Linked DNA regions of Caenorhabditis elegans. The protein of the gene in region 2 interacts with the protein of the main gene of each other region in a pairwise test. Each region holds a gene or a part of one and is shown on either strand. Other genes may lie near its edges. The genes, in order: mrpl-12 and rtel-1.

Evidence for each region.
Region 1: the proteins of rtel-1 (region 2) and mrpl-12 interact in a two-hybrid assay, tested with the Caenorhabditis elegans proteins (2 studies listed by BioGRID).

What each region holds. Positions count from the first base shown.
Region 1 is NC_003281.10:10,703,869-10,711,264, reverse strand, and holds mrpl-12 (Mitochondrial Ribosomal Protein, Large), read right to left. Parts: upstream 3,505-7,396; 5' UTR 3,499-3,504; coding exon 3,429-3,498; intron 3,381-3,428; coding exon 3,180-3,380; intron 3,122-3,179; coding exon 2,871-3,121; 3' UTR 2,744-2,870; downstream 1-2,743. Other genes in the region: W09D10.5 (N-acetylgalactosaminide beta-1,3-galactosyltransferase), read left to right, coding at 644-756, 811-878, 929-1,040, 1,102-1,312, 1,595-1,699, 2,297-2,571, 2,615-2,652; Y39A1A.22 (Xenotropic and polytropic retrovirus receptor 1 homolog), read left to right, coding at 4,725-5,360, 5,960-7,396; Y39A1A.21 (ATP synthase subunit C lysine N-methyltransferase), read left to right, coding at 4,462-4,695.
Region 2 is NC_003279.8:10,568,799-10,580,329, reverse strand, and holds rtel-1 (Regulator of telomere elongation helicase 1 homolog), read right to left. Parts: upstream 8,302-11,531; 5' UTR 8,301-8,301; coding exon 7,915-8,300; intron 7,637-7,914; coding exon 7,494-7,636; intron 7,449-7,493; coding exon 7,361-7,448; intron 7,313-7,360; coding exon 6,883-7,312; intron 6,836-6,882; coding exon 6,575-6,835; intron 6,099-6,574; coding exon 5,890-6,098; intron 5,844-5,889; coding exon 5,483-5,843; intron 4,974-5,482; coding exon 4,785-4,973; intron 4,736-4,784; coding exon 4,487-4,735; intron 4,439-4,486; coding exon 4,220-4,438; intron 3,918-4,219; coding exon 3,744-3,917; intron 3,696-3,743; coding exon 3,627-3,695; intron 3,577-3,626; coding exon 3,447-3,576; intron 3,393-3,446; coding exon 3,316-3,392; 3' UTR 3,195-3,315; downstream 1-3,194. Other genes in the region: F29C6.1 (TCTP domain-containing protein), read right to left, coding at 245-425, 738-911; F25H2.12 (Methyltransferase domain-containing protein), read right to left, coding at 8,426-8,647, 8,703-8,795, 8,850-8,945, 8,990-9,115, 9,163-9,504, 9,559-9,665, 9,712-9,841, 9,888-10,073 and 1 more; tct-1 (Translationally-controlled tumor protein homolog), read right to left, coding at 10,396-10,913, 11,169-11,196; rplp-0 (Large ribosomal subunit protein uL10), read right to left, coding at 11,367-11,531. UniProt on the Caenorhabditis elegans protein: A probable ATP-dependent DNA helicase implicated in DNA repair and the maintenance of genomic stability. Acts as an anti-recombinase to counteract toxic recombination and limit crossover during meiosis.

The DNA.
Region 1 (7,396 bases), on a different chromosome or scaffold from region 2:
AAGAAGTGATTTAAAATTATTTTCGCTATCACACGAACACAAAATTCTCGGAATGCGTATTGCACAACATACTTGGCGCGCAAAATATCTCGTAGCGAAAACTACAGTATTTCTATAAATGACTACTGTAGTGTCGATTTACTGGATCGAGTTTTTTTAAAGATGGAATATCGCTGATCGAGCCCGTAAATCGACACAAACGCTACAGTAGTCATTAAAATATATACTGTAGTCTTCGCTACGAGATATTTTGCGCGTCAAATATGTTGCACAATACGTATTCTCAGAATTTTGTATTCCCGTAATAGATTTTTAAACTTAAATTGCTAATTTTTTTCGTAAAATACAGTGCATGAAGTTGGTGTGTGCACAATTTTGAATTGCGGACTCAATGCAACATATCTGACGCGCAATTTTTCCAAACTGAAAAAAAAACCCATTTGAAAATTGCGTGAAACCACTTTTGATGACATTAAACCATCTCTCAATTTTATTTCCGGCAATTCCCGGCAAAATATGCCTCGTCATCGGAGCCGATGCACCAGATTTCACGCGCAAATTTATAGAATAATGTACGGAAGAGAATGGCATGTGTTGCTACTGTGTTCACATACATTGTTTCAAGGGAAAAAGTCAATTTCAGAGATGTTGTGATTCATTTGGCGCTGGGCGTCTCACTTGGCTACCTGATAGGTATTTTGTTCATATTTGATGGAGACAACGATATTTCAAAACATATTCATTTAATGGAACATGGTATCTATATACATTTTTTATTTGAAATTTGTGATTCAATTTCATCTTTTCCAGAAAAATCCACACCAAAACCGGAATCCTTTAATCTCCGTTGTGTTATCATTCTCCACAAGGCTACCCACGTAAGTCGCCAAAAATTAAAAATTTGTGCGTGAAATTCGATGTATTACAGAAGCCAGAAAATATAATATCCGCAATCACAGATGGGTACGCAAAACTGTGTCAGGAGACGATATTCTTCACGAATAATCAGAAATTATTCGATAAGTTTCAGAAATTTCAAAGTGAGTCGGGGCCGAAATCGCGCTCTGTTGCACTTTTTAATTTCAAATTTCAAATTTACAGATAACTATACAATGTACCACGTGGATTCCAGCCTTAACCATTTCTACTGGACATATTATTTATATGCAATGGAATTCTCGTCAAAAGTCCCGGCTCAATGGACATTTTTGGGCGATGATCAGACTTATTTGATAGTTCCAAATCTTCGAAATACTCTGAGAAATTTTGATTCTGAAAAACCAGTTGTTCTTGGAAAAGTGAAGGATACTAGGTTAGAATTTTGCGTTCCCGTAATATCTGAGAATGCGTATTGCGCAACATATTTGACGCGCAAAATATAAATATATCTCATTGCGAAAACTACAGTAAGTGGGCCCGTAAATCGACACAAGCGCTACAGTAGTCATTTAATGAATTACTGTAGTTTTCGCTGCGAGATATATTTATATTTTGCGCGTCAAATGTGTTGCGTAATATGCATTCCCAGAATTTAGTTTTCCCGTAATATTTAAATCAGTGGCCGAGCTTTTCCAAAAAACCAGCAATTTTCCAGCACATTATTCTCTTGGCTCTTCCCGCTGAGCAGCTTCAAGAAGATTTCCGTTCGTGGTGGAGTTGTGCTATCAAATCCAGCAATTGATAAGCTTTCTGCTTGCAAGTAAGATTTTTTTTAGTGCTACGTACCCAATACAGCGAATTTGACGCGCAAAAATAATTAAATTTCTGGGAACCCTACACCTTGTGTATCAAATTTTAATAAAATACTATTTACTTGGATTTTCGAGTCGCGAAATATTGCGCTAAAAATACGGTACCTGGTCTCGACACGACAAATTTTGGTCATATGCGAAAATATGTGCGCCTTTAAAGAGTACTGTAATTGAAAACTTTGGTTTCCGTGGAATTTTCATTAAAATCATTTATTTTCATAGTTTTTCTCACGATTGTTAATATGTATGTTTAAAAAATAAATCAGCAGAAAACAATGAAAAAGCGATAAAACTCCACAGCAGCACAAGTTTGAAATTTCACTAATCTTTAAAGGCGCAGACCTTTCAACATTAGCAAAAAAATGTCGTATCAAGACCGGGTACCGTAATTCTGGGGCAAATATCGCAAAGTTTTGCATCAGTGTAACAAATTTAATTTGCAAAATTACCGAAAGTTTTTGAAGACTAAAAAATCGAAAATCAGAGAATTACTTCTGGAAAACTCCCGAATAAATTCTAAAAATGTTTGATTTCATGATTTTCAGAGGATTTTTCTTCTCGCGAGCCTCGGATTTCGCTCTCTACGACTGCAGCGAGAAGTACGGTGTCCAGATAGCTGATCCATTTGATGAAGATGCTCTCCGACTATTCAACGATCTTCCACCAAAACAAATAATTGCGCCAGACTCGAAATTGTTCCGTTCAAGTCCCACAAAAGCCGGAAAATGTTCCGACCACGCGATCTCGTTCGGCCAATTATCCGAAAAGGATATGCGAGTTCTTCAATTCGGAATGTCGCTGAAAGTATTCGGACGCGGAGGTTTGTACCCATACAGGCTTCCGGTAATTTTCCCAAATTGCAGGTCTTGACACTTCTTCAAATGAGACTACCGATTTTTGATCTTCTCCAGCAGCTTCTCCAGAATCTATCCAATAGTATTTCTATCATGGGACGTGTATTTCTCTTCTTGCCGGGTGTAAATTTAATTATTTTTGAAATTAATTATTTTTCCATAAAATAAAATAAAACTTAACAAAAAGAAATGCTACACTATCTACGAAAAATTTGAAGAAAATGAGAACACAACAAATGAAAAGAGGGAAATATAGAACAAAAAATTAAACAATTTCAATGGTAGCTCCAGCCTTCTCCAGAATAGCCTTCAACTCATCGGCTTCTGCCTTTCCAAGATCCTCCTTAACATTTACCGGTGCGGTTTCCACAAACTTCTTGGCCTGAACGAGATTGAGGCCTGGAATGGCGTTACGGATCTCCTTGATGATTGCGATCTTCTTGGTATCATCGAATTTCGTTAATTTCACAGTGAATGTCATTTTTTGTGGAACGTCTGATGCGGCTTCCGCTTCGGCTGAAAAATAATGAAAATAAATAAATAATTTTATTAAACTATAATAAATAATGTTTACCCTGAGCGGCTGGAGCAGCAGCGGCAGCAGCCATCAATGGTTGATCTGGAATGTTGAGCCGCTTCTTGAGAGCCCAGTTAAGATCGGAGACGTCGAGCAGGCTGAGATTCGCGATTTCTTCAACCAACGAGCTGACTTTTGCGGAGATTGCTCTGTCTTCTGATGGCAATGGTGCCGGGCTTCCCTCGTTTAATGGAAGACCTGAAAATTTTGATATGATTTTGAGGAAAATCTTAATTTTCAGATTACCTGCGGCCTGGGAGTACTTCGCGCTGCTTCTGAGCACCTTGGAGATCGGTCGGAGTGTTCTGGACAACATATTTACCTGGAAGTTGAAAGGTAATTTAGTTTTTAATCGGAATAAGAGAGAAATATAAGTTTGAAGAAACTTTTGTTTATGTAATATATTTTTAGCTAAAAAATTAACAAATCGATACCCGAAAAACCTAATTTTAAAATAAAAATCATAAAGAAACGCAAAAAATTAGCGAAAATTGAGGAAAATTAAAAGTTTTGCAATGTTTACCGACTTAACATCTTCTTTACAAGATCTTTAACAATCTTCAATAGAAAAACTCTAAGAAACCACGAAAAATTAGCAAAACTGAAATTCCAAAATTGCATATCTTTATAAAGTAAACCCCCTTTTTAAAAAACGAATTTTAACCTGGGTTTTGGTGATTTTCAACGTCGGAACCATGCAAATTACGACAATTTTATATAAAAATTCAGAAATTTGGTTGGAAAATACGGTGGGAAACGCAAAAAATTAATAAAAATCGCACAGAAATTGCAGAAAATAAATCCGACCCATCCGAAAACGCGCCAGTAGCCACTCGTTTGCGCAATCATCAACTGCTTGCGCACTTCCGGTGCACTGAGCTCCCGATTTTTAGTCGCATGTGCCCTTATCGAATTTCGTTGTCTATCTCTTTTTCGCGAAAAGTACGAATTTAAATTTTGATTCTGTCGAGTGCAATTTATGCGTAAATCGATATATTTCCAGTGTTTTGCACTGTTTTAGGCCTGAAAATCGTTTTAAACATTTTTTTTCTGTTTTCAGGTAGAAAATTTGAATCGTTGATGAGAAACTTCATCTTATTCCGAAGAAAATCGATTGAAGAATAAAGGTGGGTATGAATTTTAATTTTAAATATTCAAAAACAATAATCCTTTGAAAAATAAAGATAATTTAAACTTAAAAATAATAAATTTTAAAACAAATAAAAAATCATGATTTAAATCAATGAGTGTTCCCCTCGAGATTGTGTTTTTTTGCAGTATGGGCATGAACACAGGTCTGGTGATTGCCGGTGTGGCTGGCGCAACGGCGCTCGCCATCTCGGCGGCCGCAATTCCGTTCGTGGCGCCCGCTCTGCGACGCGTCTGCATTCCGTACGTCCCAGCAACGACGGAGCAGCTCGCGAACGTCTCCCGCGCACTTTCACTCGCCACGAGCAGCAACAGCAACAAGAAGGGAACGCTCATTGATTTAGGCTCCGGCGATGGCCGTGTTGTAAGTTATTCCCATTTTCCCGATTTTAGATGAAGTTCGGCGAGCAACTAGCGAGCCACTTGACGCCCGAGTGGCGGAAACAATACATTGACTATGAGCGGCTCAAAAATCTATTATACGATGATATGATGGAGGTTCCCGCCGACGATGACCGCCGAGAAGAGCACATTTCCCGGCTCGACGAGAAATTTTTCAACGAGTGCGACCAAGAGCTCACCAAGATCAACCTATTCTTCTCGCAAAAAATCGCTGAAGGACAGGGAAAACATCACGAGCTTCAAACCGAACTACAAGTGTTCAAGGATGTTCTTGGGTCTCGCAGCGATACCACAGGGATCCGTAGAAGGTTCGGAGGAAAAGACAAATTCCATAAGGAGACCACACGGAATGAGCAGCAGCTGAAACTCGCATTCTCCGAGTTTTATCTTTCTCTGGTGCTGGTTCAGAACTTTCAGCAATTGAATGCTACCGGATTTCGGAAGATTTTAAAGAAACACGACAAGCTCACTGGCAACGAACGAGGACTCGACTGGCGGATTAATAAAGTGGAAAAATCGTCGTTTTTCTTGAATCGAGAAATTGAAACTCTGATCACAAATGTGGAAACCAGTGTAATTAATGATTTGGAGGCTGGAAATCGACAAGCTGGAATGAAGAGGCTTAAGGTTCGAAATTTCGCTGAAAAAATTGGAAAATTGATTATTTTATACGAAACAGAATTAACTTTAGAAAACCCAATGAAAAATTGAATTTTCGAGCGATTTTCAGTTTTTTTTTTCGGAGATTTTTTGAAAAAAAATCTAAGAAAATGCTGAATAGTAGTTTTAAGTTTTTTTGAAAATAAATAATAAAAAATTTCAATAAAATGAATTTTTTCTGAAAAAAAAATTTCTAATCAAAATAAAAATTTCCAGGGAAAAATTGTGATATTTTCAATTTTTGTTTAAAAAAAAAAGAAAATACAAAAACCTGACTGAAATCGTTGAAATAATTTTTAAAAAAATTGAAAACCTAGAAAATTATCAATATTTGATCTAAAATCGAATAAATTTTTAAAATAGTAAGGAAATTAATTTTTTTTAAATCGAAAAATTCGAGAAAAACACTCGAATCTTTCAAAAATTAAAAATAAAATAAAAAAATATTCAGTTTTTTCCGAATAAAAATTTCTTTAAAAAATGTGAATTTCAAATAAAAAATTTACTTAGAAACTAAAATAAAATTTAAAAAAAAACCGGAATGAAGAAAAAATCGAATTTTCCAGGTACCACCACTCTCGGAGAAGCAGAAGCCTCTCACCACCTTCTCCCTGGGCCTCTTCATCGGTGCGAGCATCATCCTGCTCCTTGCAATACTTCTAACATGGATCGCCTCCCCAGCACGACCTCAAGAACCAAAATGGGTAGCCGTTCGTTTATTCCGAGGACCACTACTTCTCTTCCTATCAATCTTCCTTTGTGGTGTGAATATGGCTGGTTGGGCTGCTGCTGGAGTCAATCACGTTCTGATCTTTGAAGTAGATCCCAGGAATCATCTCTCATATCAAACTCTGATGCAAATCGCATCCTTTATGATTATGCTGTGGTCTTTTGCAGTTCTCGCCTATCTATATGCTCATATGCTCCATATTCCACCATTCGCACCTCCATTAGCACTAATGGTGGTTTGTCTGATTCTTCTTCTGAATCCAATCGCCAAACCCGACTCGGTATTCCACAGAAATTCTCGATTCTGGCTTCTGAAACATTGCTACAAGTGCTTCACATCACCATTCCATTTCGTCACATTCACCGATTTCTGGCTTGGAGATCAAATGAACTCACTGACCACCGCATTCCTAGACTTTCAGTACTTTGTGTGCTTTTACGCTACAGAAGTTGACTACTCGAATGGGTGGATTGAAGTGAAGGGAATCAACTCTACCACTGGATCGGTTCCCTGGGGAAGTGTCGAGTTGTCGAATGGAAAGGATCAATGTGCTTCTGCCGCAGGTCTTCGGTCCCTCATGTCGATAATTCCGGCAATGATCCGTTTTCTGCAGTGCCTCAGACGTTATAGAGATACAAAACGAGTACATCCACATTTAGTGAATGCTGGAAAGTATTCCACGACCTTCTTTGTAGTTGCCTGTGGAGCCCTGAACAAGTACTACGAGGCTACGGATCCTAACACCACTTCGATCTTTTTCTACATTTGGATTCTGTCCTATATAATGTCCTTTACCTACACCTTCCTTTGGGATATCTTCATGGATTGGGGATTAATCGATCCAAGGGCTCCAAAGGAGGCAAGATTCTTGCGTGAAGAAATGATCTATGGTAGTAAATGGTATTACTATATGGCTATCGCTCAGGATTTTGTGCTCCGATTGGCTTGGGTGCTCAACGTCTCGCTCGGAGAAGCTTGGACTCTTGACTCGGACTTTTTGACGACAGTAACCGCACCATTCGAAGTGTTCCGTCGGTTTATCTGGAACTATTTCCGACTTGAAAATGAGCATGTCAACAATTGTGGTCAATTCCGCGCGGTGCGTGATATCTCGGTGAAGCCGATTCGAAAAGGAGATTTGGAGTCACTGCTATCGAAAATGGATCAAATGGATGGGGTCACGCATCGCGGACAGGATCTCATGGAGCGTGTCAAGAAGCAGAAGAAGTCGGCGAAGGCCTCAAGACAGCTTCTTCGTAAGAATCGGTTCAAT
Region 2 (11,531 bases):
GAAATTTTTTCTTCTAGTTTTCAACTTTCAGACAATTTTTGAGTATTTTTCCAAAATTTTAAACTAAAATAAAAGCTATTTTTTAGAAAGAAAATATTTTTCCATACTTTACCATTCAACTTTAATGAAAAAAAAACTTTGAAAAAATTAATAGGAGGAGATCTTTATAGGCTACAATTCAGGTTTCGCAGCAATTCAATATATCCGTGAATTCCAAAATAAAAAAACAAATCATACAACTCACCCATATAAACTTTAATGTCTTTTGTCTCACGGTTGGCTTTAAACCATGCTCTCAAGTTGAAAATATAATCAACCATATATGTGAAATCTGCATTATCCCCATACATCTTCGTTTCCACTAGTTCTCCAAGTTTCTGTCCGAAATCAAAGATATCCTTTTCGACGCCCCACATGTCGAATTTCTGGAATTAAAATAGTAAACTATGTCTAACATCAAAAATAACTCGCAATAATCAAAAAATCAAAAGGCACAAGTTCAGTCGTATGTGCCTATGTTGCCTACGTTGGTTATATGAGAAATTGAAACTTTTAACTCGAGCCTAGGCAACCAAAAGTGATGAATAGAAAATACTTGGTTTTTCTAATTTGTGTTTAAAATTAACTCAACTTTCCTTACAGAAACTAATTTCAAATTCGCACGGGGCCCGCTTTTTTTTTCAAAATATTTAAAAATTCGATTTATTTTAAAATTCGAATTCAAAAATTAAACGAACTTTCATCTGATATTTCTGCAAAAGATCCACAGTTTTTTTGGTCTCCCCGTTTGAAACTTTAACATCGATGTAGTTTCCTTTGAATTTGAAAAAAAGTTCTTCAGCAAACTCGAATGCTCCATTTTCAGCTTCCATCAAAATATCTCCTGTGATGTGATCTTTGAATGTGACCATTTTGATCTGGAATCAGGATTTGAAGATCAAAAGATCAAAGATCATTAGATAAAATTATAAACGGACTGTTAATAGTCATAAATCAATTTAAAATTATTTGAAAGTTTTAAAATTTTTTCAAGAAACTAAAATAATTAATGGAAGAAAAAATAATAAAAATCCAATCCATCAATAGATCATGATCAAAAAATAATGTAGACAATGGTGTATAAACGAAAAGAGAAATTGAAATGAATCAAGCATTGTTGATTGCCGTTGAAAGATTAGAAATGAATTAGAACAAGAAAAACAAACGAGAAAATTTGAATTGAAAAAAGGAAAATGGAATCGCAGACATTCAAAAGATCCAACACATTTTCAATCTATCACGTACAATCCAGAATTTGTGTCGGAACATTTTTAGATTAAGGAAAGGAAAAAATTAAGTAAGATGTTGAAGGTAGAGCTGAAATTCTGAAATAGCATAGTAAAAAATTTTCAAAACCTTTTTTGAAATTTTTTATTTTCAGTCAAAAAGATGATATTACTTACACCTAATACCTCTCACTTATTTTTTGTCTACTTTAGAAGTGGAACATTCGATATTGCTCTGAATTTCTTGAGAAACCCATAATTTTCAAAAATTTGCAATTTACCAAAACTTTCACTGGATACTTTCAGTAAGCTAAAAAGGTTTTGGAGTCATTTCTTATGATATATTTGGTCATTTTGTATTATAATAAGTATTTAGGTTATAATTTTATCCAGAATTTTGGAAGTCCACCTAAAACAAAAAAATTCCCAAGATTTTTTATATTCTAAGCATATTCTAATTATGTTTTGATTTTAATTTTATATTTTTAGGGAACTTTAACGAGAAAAAAATTTGCATCTGAACATTATGAAAAGTTTGGCAATTTACTGAAAACAAATTTTATACCAAACATTATCGTAATTTTAAACAAGGAATAGTTGATTAAAAACAATTTCACTATCAAATGAGTAATGATCCCATAGTTTTTTGTTTTCAAAAATCTAAAACTCGTTATCTTCCTCATCTTTGAACTATTCTCAAGTAAGTGCTAGGTAAATCAAAATGTTCTATTCTTATTTCATAATGTTTCATTTCCTAGCATCAGACAAAGTGCAGCCAAAATAACGATTTCGAACAATTCGAAACATAATCGTTTCATCTAATTTTCAAGTCTCCGCCCCTTTCTTGGATGTTATGTTGGCGATTAAAAATTCAGCTAATACAGGAAATTATGTTGTTCAAAGTTATTTTTATCGTATTTAATTTTATAAAAATTAGACACTAGAAAACATGTTAAAAACGATACAATTGGATTACTGTACTAGTATATAATGATTACCACAAATTCTATCAGCCAATCGATAAATAGTTAAACAAAAGGATACGATAAAATATGTGAAACATTCTTTTGGATTCATTCAGATGTTATATTTTTTGGGTAAAATTGAACAGGCAAGTCTTCAAATTAACTCTGCGGTCTGCCTACCGCCTTTAGACAGAATATTTTTCTTATGTTTATTTTAAATACAAACGTCATTTAACGGTCATAATACGCACTTTTTTATCGATTATCAAATCATTCCAATTTTACACACAAAAATTTCTGATCTTTGTTTTAAATTGATAAATACAGTCTTAAGATATTAAAACTACCAAACACCTTGAATAGTCTTAACAAGACTTTATGCCAATTTACGCAGCTCGTGTAATCTACGTGGATTTTTCAATTTTTTGGACTACCTTATTTTTACATAAAAATTATTATATTTAACAGAAGAAAAATACGAAATACAAAACGGAAATTACGGAAATTTAAGAAAATCAGGATTTTCCTTCCTATACCTAACGAGACCCAACGTTTAGGGGAGGGGTGTTTTCAATTGGCGTTGGAGCACGATTGCACATCGATTATGCATAATATTGTGGTAATAATAAGAAATCTCATTAACAAAAATAGAAAATTTGAACCGTTAAAAATCTAGAAGTGAAACGATGAAAACTGCAGGAATTTGAAAACCAAAACGAGAAATACGAAGTTTTTCATCATATAACTGTAATCTAAAGCCCATCCCTCTATCATTTCTCTCATCTATTCACAATTGTCTCGTGGCCCCAAAAACCGGTTATTTAATTGTTGATAACTGATTTGTCGTTGAAATTATCAAGGAAGATCGAACATCGAGATGTGGCTGCTGAGCAGCTACATGTGGTTTCGAGGCAGATTACGTGAGAATTATGAAAATGGTTTTCTTGGGGTGATGGGAAGTGACCATGAGATCGCATTTATTTAGGGAACAAATTTAAAAATTAAACACCGGTCAATAATGTTTTACATGTAAAAGGATCTAGAGAGTTAGGAAATGTTACGAGAGAAAAAAAAATAAATGAAAATTATGTGTGGATCTTCGATTCAAGCGCCTTTTTCAGATATTTCATTTTGTCTTCCGATCGGAGAACGTTGGAGCAAGCTGGAAAATTAATTGTATTTTTTTGTTGAAATAAAAATTTGAATTCTAACAAACCAATAAACAAATCAGCCTTGTGCGGAACAAAAATTGGCCGAAATCTTTGAAAAACTTCATCCCATCTGATACTTTCAGCTTTGTAGCTTCTGAGTGTGGTGGCAAATTGCTTTTTATTGTCGTCAGACATCTGGAAATAATTGGATTATTTCACTTTTATAAGGTAGGCAGCTGACATACATCTTTCAAAAGTTCAGAAGTTGGAATTTCAATTGCTTTTTGATATTCATCAGGTAGAGTATTTCGTGTCTGAAATTTCACTGTATGTTAGTGGAAATTTATGCTGAAAATAATTACCAAAAGCAGAATTTTCTTCTTTTTTGGTGGTTCACTTTTCTGTGTCAGCGTAGATGTCGATGGCCCTGGTGTTTCAATTTTAAACTTTCGTTTATTAGATTCAAGGGGTATTGAAGATAAGCATTGAATATCGTTTTCTTGCTCCCATTTTTTGATTTTCAGCTCATCTTCGTTCTGAAAAAAAAATCATGTGTAAAAAATCAGAGCGTGTACTCCTCGAGGAGAAGTGTTTTTTTCAGTGGATTTCTGATTTTGCAAAATCTATTTTGCATTATTTCCGCTGATTCTTTTTGTATTAAAATTTTAAATCACCGATCTAGATTTTATCTATATTATTTTCAGTGAAAACAAATGTAATTACTGTAGAAAGCCAACGATTTTTGTGCCAAAAATACGGTATCCGGTTTCGAAACTTTTTTTTCAGCTCAAAAATGGCAAATGTGTAATAACTTCTTTTTACGTTTGGAAGCCCGTACCGTTGGTAGGCTGAAAACTGAAGAAGTTGAAGGTATCAATTGTGGAGGACGTAATTTAGTGATTTCTTTCTTTTCCAATTTCATATTTGCAGGCGAGAACATATCTTCTAATGTGATTTCAATAATATCATCTTTGGAATCTGATGCAGCTGTTTGCTTCACTTGTCGGAACGATTTGCACTGTTTTGCCTGCTTTTTTATGTATTCGGTCTTCGAATTCTAAAATTTTATGATTTAATATTGAACGCCTTTTTTTGAAATAAAAACCTCAATCAAATGTCCTCTTTCTTTGAAAAATCGTGATGTCTTGAGAGCGCACCCATCAGTGTCACTCCGAGAAATCGTATTTCTGAGCCATTTCGGAAACATTTCAGGTTTTGCTGAAGCATAACGTGTATCCATCAGAACAACAGTTCCAAAATCATCCTTATGACGAAGAACTCGGCCGATTGCTTGATTTACAGCTCTAAACGCTTCCATTTGATACCAATCTTGAGACGATTGACGTTCAGATTTCTGAAAACCCAGTTTTATTATTTTAACTTTTAAAATATCTTCACAAAACCGTGTCTTTTCTGCCCATCAGATCGTCCAAATACATTTTCTTCAAAACAACTCTCTCATCATGAATCGGTGGATATGGGATTCCAATAATAATGACGGCTCTTGATTCGGCATCACAAAAATCGATTCCTTCTGATACTTTTCCACGACAAACTGCTAATAGAGCAGCGCCGTGTTGTTCAGAGACGCCCTGTAAATATTTTTAAAATTTTTCACAACTACTTCATATTGGGAAGTGGAACCTCTAACACTATCAAGTGTCGATTTACGCTGATTGTGTACTCCTCGAGAACAAGTGAGCGTTCATTTTTGAAAACGATTTTTGAGGTTTTGGATTAAAAATTTATAAGCTTTGTTTAATTTTTTTAAGAAAAAACGATGAAAAACGATGAAAATTACACATAATCTAAAGTTACAGTACTAATACTCTATAAAGGCGCACATCTTTTTTCGTTAAAAAGTAGTCGTGGCGAGACCCGGTATCGCATTTTTCGGGCAAAGATAACAAAATTTCGCGCTTGGATAATAATTTTTTAAATTGGTTTTTTTTTGGGCAAAAAGTTGGATTTTTTAACGAAAAATCTTTTGTTTTTTGATTTTTTGATTTTCGTTTTTTCACTAAAAAAACGGCATCTTTTCGACAACCGCCTTGATTCCACTGCTCATTTTCCTCGTGACGATTTTCAAAACTTTACGAACTTGTGTATATCTCAGACGAATAGCAGCTAGTTCTTCTTTAGCTCTTGGTTCTACCACAACTCTCTTCGTCTTCTCCATTTTTTCCCAAAACGATTCATTCGAATTACTCGACCATTTCGTCGTTTTCCACGTCGCAACAAGTTCATCCATTTGAGAATATGATGAGAAGAAAATGAGAATTCCTTGCGGAATAACTTCCATGACACGTAACAATGCTTCTGCTACACCTGTCACGTAATCCAGATTTTTTCGATTTTGGAATGAACCGGCGAGTCCTCCTCGTTTTCCACGTGTCACAATTGAAGTTAAAACTGGAACTTGCTTCAGAGCATGCTCATTCTCAAGAATTGCACCGAAATTCCTGAAAAATAGAACGATTTTTGAATTTACCAATTCTGTAGACGTACAATCCCATATTATAAGTGAACGCCTGTATTGGTGAAAGGGTTCCACTGGCCAGAAGAACATTTCGAACTCCTCGCATTTTGAGCATTCTCATCGAGATTGAAGCTTGGAAACAGAAATATTTGATTGTAAGCTTCTCATTGTCCTTATCCTTTTGAATATACAATTTGCAATTTCTAGCCACAGTTTTTGGATCAACTCGATCAACTAGCTGAAAATTAATAATTTAGATTCAGGGCCGCGCAAAAAAGGCATGCGCCTTTAAGAACTACAGTAATTTTCAGAGGCATCGATTTTTCTCGAATTTTTTTCTTAAAAATAAATTAAATTTAATATTAAAATCAACTCAAAATTCGATTGAGAGCTCAAGCGAAATTTTAAAAAAATTGAAAGCTTGAAGAAAAATTTTAAAAACCGAGATGTGGGTTACTGTAACGATGATTTTTTCGTCAAACTATTGGAATGAAACCTTATTCACTTTTCAACTTCACATATATTTTTGGAATATCATTTTGGATAAAAATCATTGAAAAACGAAAAACGCTTGAAAATCAGCGAAATGGCCAAATTAATTGACAAAATTTGAATTTTTCCGTGAAATTCCTAACGAGAGACATATTTTTGGGGCTGGTGCGTGTTCAGTTAGCCGTAGATTTTTTTTTAATTTTTTCGGTGAAAAAATCTAACTTTAACAGTTTCCTCGCCAACAGCAGCAGCAACATCTTGAGCGTGTGTCGAATAGATGGACAACAAGAAATCCGCCACTTTTTCCATTCCATCTCCTTTTTCGGTTAGAGCGACTTCTTCATTTTTAGACAAAAGATAAGAAATGGCATCTCGAAGAACATCAACAAGCCGTTCAACAGAATTTGCATCGAATCCAGCTTTTGCAAGAGTTTCAAGAAGAATTTCACCGTCACTTGCTTTTCCACTCAATGGTGGTACAGACTGAAAAAGAAAAAATGATTTAGGGAATTATTTTCAAATATTCTAACTTTTAATTGAGATGATCCAAATAATTTATCCATTTCTTCTTCCAATGAAAATATTTTCTCTAAAACTGTCATCAAATCTTCAGTTCTCAAATTCTCAATCAATTTCTTTGTTAAATCAATTTTTGCACTTCCGAATGCTCCAGTTTCAGCATCTGCTTCACTTCTTGCAGTCTCTTCTTCATCTACCAACAACGCCAGAACCTTTTTCAGCTCTTCAATACAAAGAGCAATTGACGTGGAAGTGAGCTCAGCAGATGCATTGGATTCGCAAATTGATTCTAGATTATGAGCCTCATCGAAGATCACAATTGAATTTTTCAGGTCCAGCTTGTATCTTCGTCTCATTTTTGGATCGATAATGTAGTTGTAGGGAAGAAGAATGAGTTCAGCAGTTTCAGAACGTTGCCGAGACATGAAATATGGGCATAATCTGAAATTATTTTAATGGTTTTTGATAGGTTTTAATGCGAAAAATTACGAATTTTGAGTTCCAAGTTTCACGAAATCTTCAATATCCATTGCTTCGCCTTTATCCAAAAATTCTGTCATTTTGTCTGTGGTGCACGCTGGAAATAATTTTTTTTGCTGGCAATTTCAGGACTCAGCCGTACCGTCAAATTTATTATAATAATGACATGCTCGCTTCGAGACCAATCCACGACAAACATGAGCCTGTCGATTGGATTCTTTGATTTTCTTGACTTTTTGATTGATGCAGAAGTGTTCACGGGATCCTAGAATTGTGGTTTTGACCCTGGAAATTAAAATAGAGAAATAAAAGCGAAATATTTAAAAAAAATATTGGGAATTTATTACAGAAAATCGCAAAACTTTTCAGAAAAAGCCAAGGTTTTCCATAAAGTAATGTTAAATTAGCCAAAATAAAGCGTTAAGAACCTGCAGTTAACTAGTTGGATAGAAAAAAAATAACTTTCTCTTATTTTTCTGTGGAATATGATTAAATTGGAGAAAATTTCGAAAATTTTAATTTATTTTTCCGTGACATAATCGCAATTTCTCACAAACCCATACCATTTATATTCAGTTCTATTCAATTCATGAACAACTTGTTCCAACTGTGAATGTGTTCTTGATGCATAAAATATCGTCGGAACGTATGCACTCTTCAATTTCTCATCAGTTTTTTCTGCTCCACCGGCTCCTGACGTCTGCCACGTGGCAAAATCCAGCGGCTTCGTCTCTTTTTGACGTTGAACCCATGCGAGCGTCGAACAGAGAAGAGACAGCGTTTTTCCGGTACCCGTGGGACTTTCAAGTGCTGCGTCTAGTTTTCTATCCAGTACATCGACAACGTTCTTCATGAAGATCCTCTGACATTCGTATGGTTCAAATGGGAATTTTACACTTAACTTCGGGTTAATCCAAACTTCCGTTGAATTTGAAGCTTTCGGCGGCATACTGAAATGTGTTAGCCGAGATTTTACCTGGCAACAACAAAAAACAAACAGAAAATCGTGGATTATAAAACCAAAAATGTTAATCACACACCACACAGGATAAACTCAAATTTGCAAAAGTATGTTTATTTATAAGCAATGATGGCAAGATTTCTAGGTGAAATAGAAGGTTCAAAGAGTGGAACAACTCTAGAATTTATTCCATTTTCCCTTAACAATTCCACTCGATCGTCGATAATTGCTGACTCAATCGCTGGAGCAAACATGCATCGGAGAACTTCAAACGAATCGAACTGAGAGCTTCGGAGAGAAGAGACATGAGCGGATAGTTCAGATTGTGGAATTATCTGGAAATTAGATAGAAGTTTAGTAATTTATGTTAAAAAAATATTTAATATTAACCTGCAAAACTTTATCCAGTAAATGATTTCCCCGGTTTGCCATAGCTTTTCGAATATATTCTTCAAACGTTGTCTGATTCTCAATACATTTTACCTGAAATGAGAAAAATTGAATTTAATAGCTAAATTTCTAAACTATCGGGCCTACCGAACACATCCCGATATTCCGATCTTCTGGCAACTCGGAAACTTTCCAAATCCATTTTTCCAGATATGATCGAGCATATCGTGAAAGATCAATCTTCTAAAAATAGAAATTTGTGATAAGAAATAATTATTAATTTATACCTGTTTCAGAAATCGTTCCTCAAGATTCTCGTTGTTGTGGCAAGCTGCTTCTCGAAGTAAATAGTCTATTTCGACGTTTTCCCATTTCTTGCTCAATGGAAAAACTGTTGACTTTCCAAAAGACGTCTGCAAATTAACTGAAATTATTTTTTAAATAATTTTTTAAAACCTACATTTTCAGAAATCTCTCGTTCATTTTCATTATTTTCTGGTCGTAAAAAATGAAAGCATTGAAATTCTTTGTGGTAACAACATCCAAAAAGCACTAGGGCTTTCGATTTTTCACTTTTTTGAAAAACTTTGAGAATTGTCGACGAAAAATCTCCACAACAATGGAGACCGACCAAAATTGCAGAGTTTACAGCAAAATCATCGATTTTCAAAGCAAGATCTTCGGTTACAAAATTGGTGTATCGAATTGGTGTTGATTTGACGTTGAAATTTTCAATGCGAGATCCGATTTTTGCAGAATCCAGAAGTAATTTCTCATCGAGCGAGTTTGCAGCCAATGTGAACTGAAACGAGTTTTTTTTTGGATTTATGTTCAAATATTTGTGATTTTGACGCACCTGTTGGTTTCCTTCCACAGCCATAACCGATATATTATTATGAATTGAGATCATACGTGATAAATGTCCAATTCCAGCACCAATATCCACCAGACTGTCTATGGGATCTGCAAAATTCGACAACTGATTCGAAAAGTTTATTATTTTGAATACCTGCCGAATCTTTCTGGAATATTTGAATTTGTGAGATTAATTCCACAATTCTATCAATTTCGTGTTGTTTCTTCGCTTTAATCCTCTTCCTTACCAATCCATTCGCCGACGATATTGTACGGAAAGATGCCTGAAATTGTTAATTTTATATTTTAAAATTTCAAGATTATAACTACATTTAACCCATCTCTTGTGGTTCCTGTCCATTGACGCCAAAGATCTGAAGGATTTTCCACACATTTCCTATTGTATTCGAAAAGTTTAAGATTTGCTTTCAAGTCTCTCAGAGAATGTGGAATAGAGGCGCAATCAGCTGACACAAGATTATCCGATGAATTTACGAAGACTATGACGTCTTCAAGCTGAATATAATTTTAGATTAGATACATTTTTGTTCTAACCGATTCTAGATTCAGGTACTCTCTCCATTCATCTTCAAGCAAATCCCAAGACGACGAAGCAAAGTATTCGATGCTACGACTATTCAAGATCCTCCGATACTTCGAGACAACTTCATCGAATTTGGAACTTTCCATGAAACTCAAGTTACAAAATTACATTTTTTGTTCCAAACCATTCTAACCAAGGTACTAGAGACAATAATTTATGTTTTTGTTGCAATCGATATGTGATAGGGGAGTATATATAGTTCATTGAAAACATTAAATGATTTAACAGTGAAGTTTAGCACTTCTCCTCGATGATGGCTTCCTTGACAAGCATAAGGGTTGGAACTTCGGTTCCATCAACATCTCTGTACTCGATGATGGCGACTTGACCGTTCTCAGCTCCCTCAGCGGCTCTCTCTCCAATGAAGAAGGCGAGGTTCTTGAAGCGATCCTTGGCGAGAAGGCTGACAACCCATCCTTGAATCTTCTTCTTGAAGGCATCGACATCAGCCTTATCACGGTTGTTCTTCTCCATGTGGTCGATGACGTTCTTCATGAATTTCTTGATGTATGCCTTGAACATACTGGCATCCTCGTAGCAGTTCATCTCAACGAGCTTGTGGTTAAGGACAATATCGATACCACGCTCGACGTGCTCGTCAGATCCATCATCCTCGGCTCCTTCCTCAGCAGATGGGTTGGATCCAGCCAAAACGATCTCTCCTTCCTTGCGGACAACGTGCTTTCCCTTGAATTCGTAAACAAGATCATCAACCAACTTCATTGGGAAGGAGTCGGACGAGAGCTCATCATCTGAAATTGTTCGACAATCATTATCAATCTATAAACAAACAGCATCACATCTACGGCAAAGTTCACAGAACAAAATTTGATCGTCATCCATTTACCACACGTAACTCGCCAATTTGACACCCATGACTATACAAATTAGGGCAACAATGAATTCACAGCAAAACGCAGCGAACTCATGAAGCGATCTAAAATGCACAATCACAGTCAAACTAGCTTAAGGAGTGTGGAAAACTTCTTCAGAAAAAGAAATCTTACCGGTGAAAATATCCTTGTAGATCAGCATTTTTGAAGGATGGGGCCAGTAACTGAAATTACGAGATTAAAAATTCAAACAAGAAACAAAAAAATAGAGATATAGTTAAGTGTTCGATAACACCACAAAGAAAAGTAATTAAAAACGCTTTTTTTGGAGATAACATTTCATTAACAACAAATTCAGAACAACTTGTGGATTTAGTCGAAGAGACCGAATCCCATGTCGTCGTCGGATTCCTCCTTTGGCTCTTCCTTCTTGGCGGCTGGAGCAGCAGCAGCTGGGGCAGCGGCGGCAGCTGGAGCAGCAGCAGCGAACTTGCTTGGGTCGGCAATGAAGGCCTTGATGGTCTCGGCCTCCTTGAA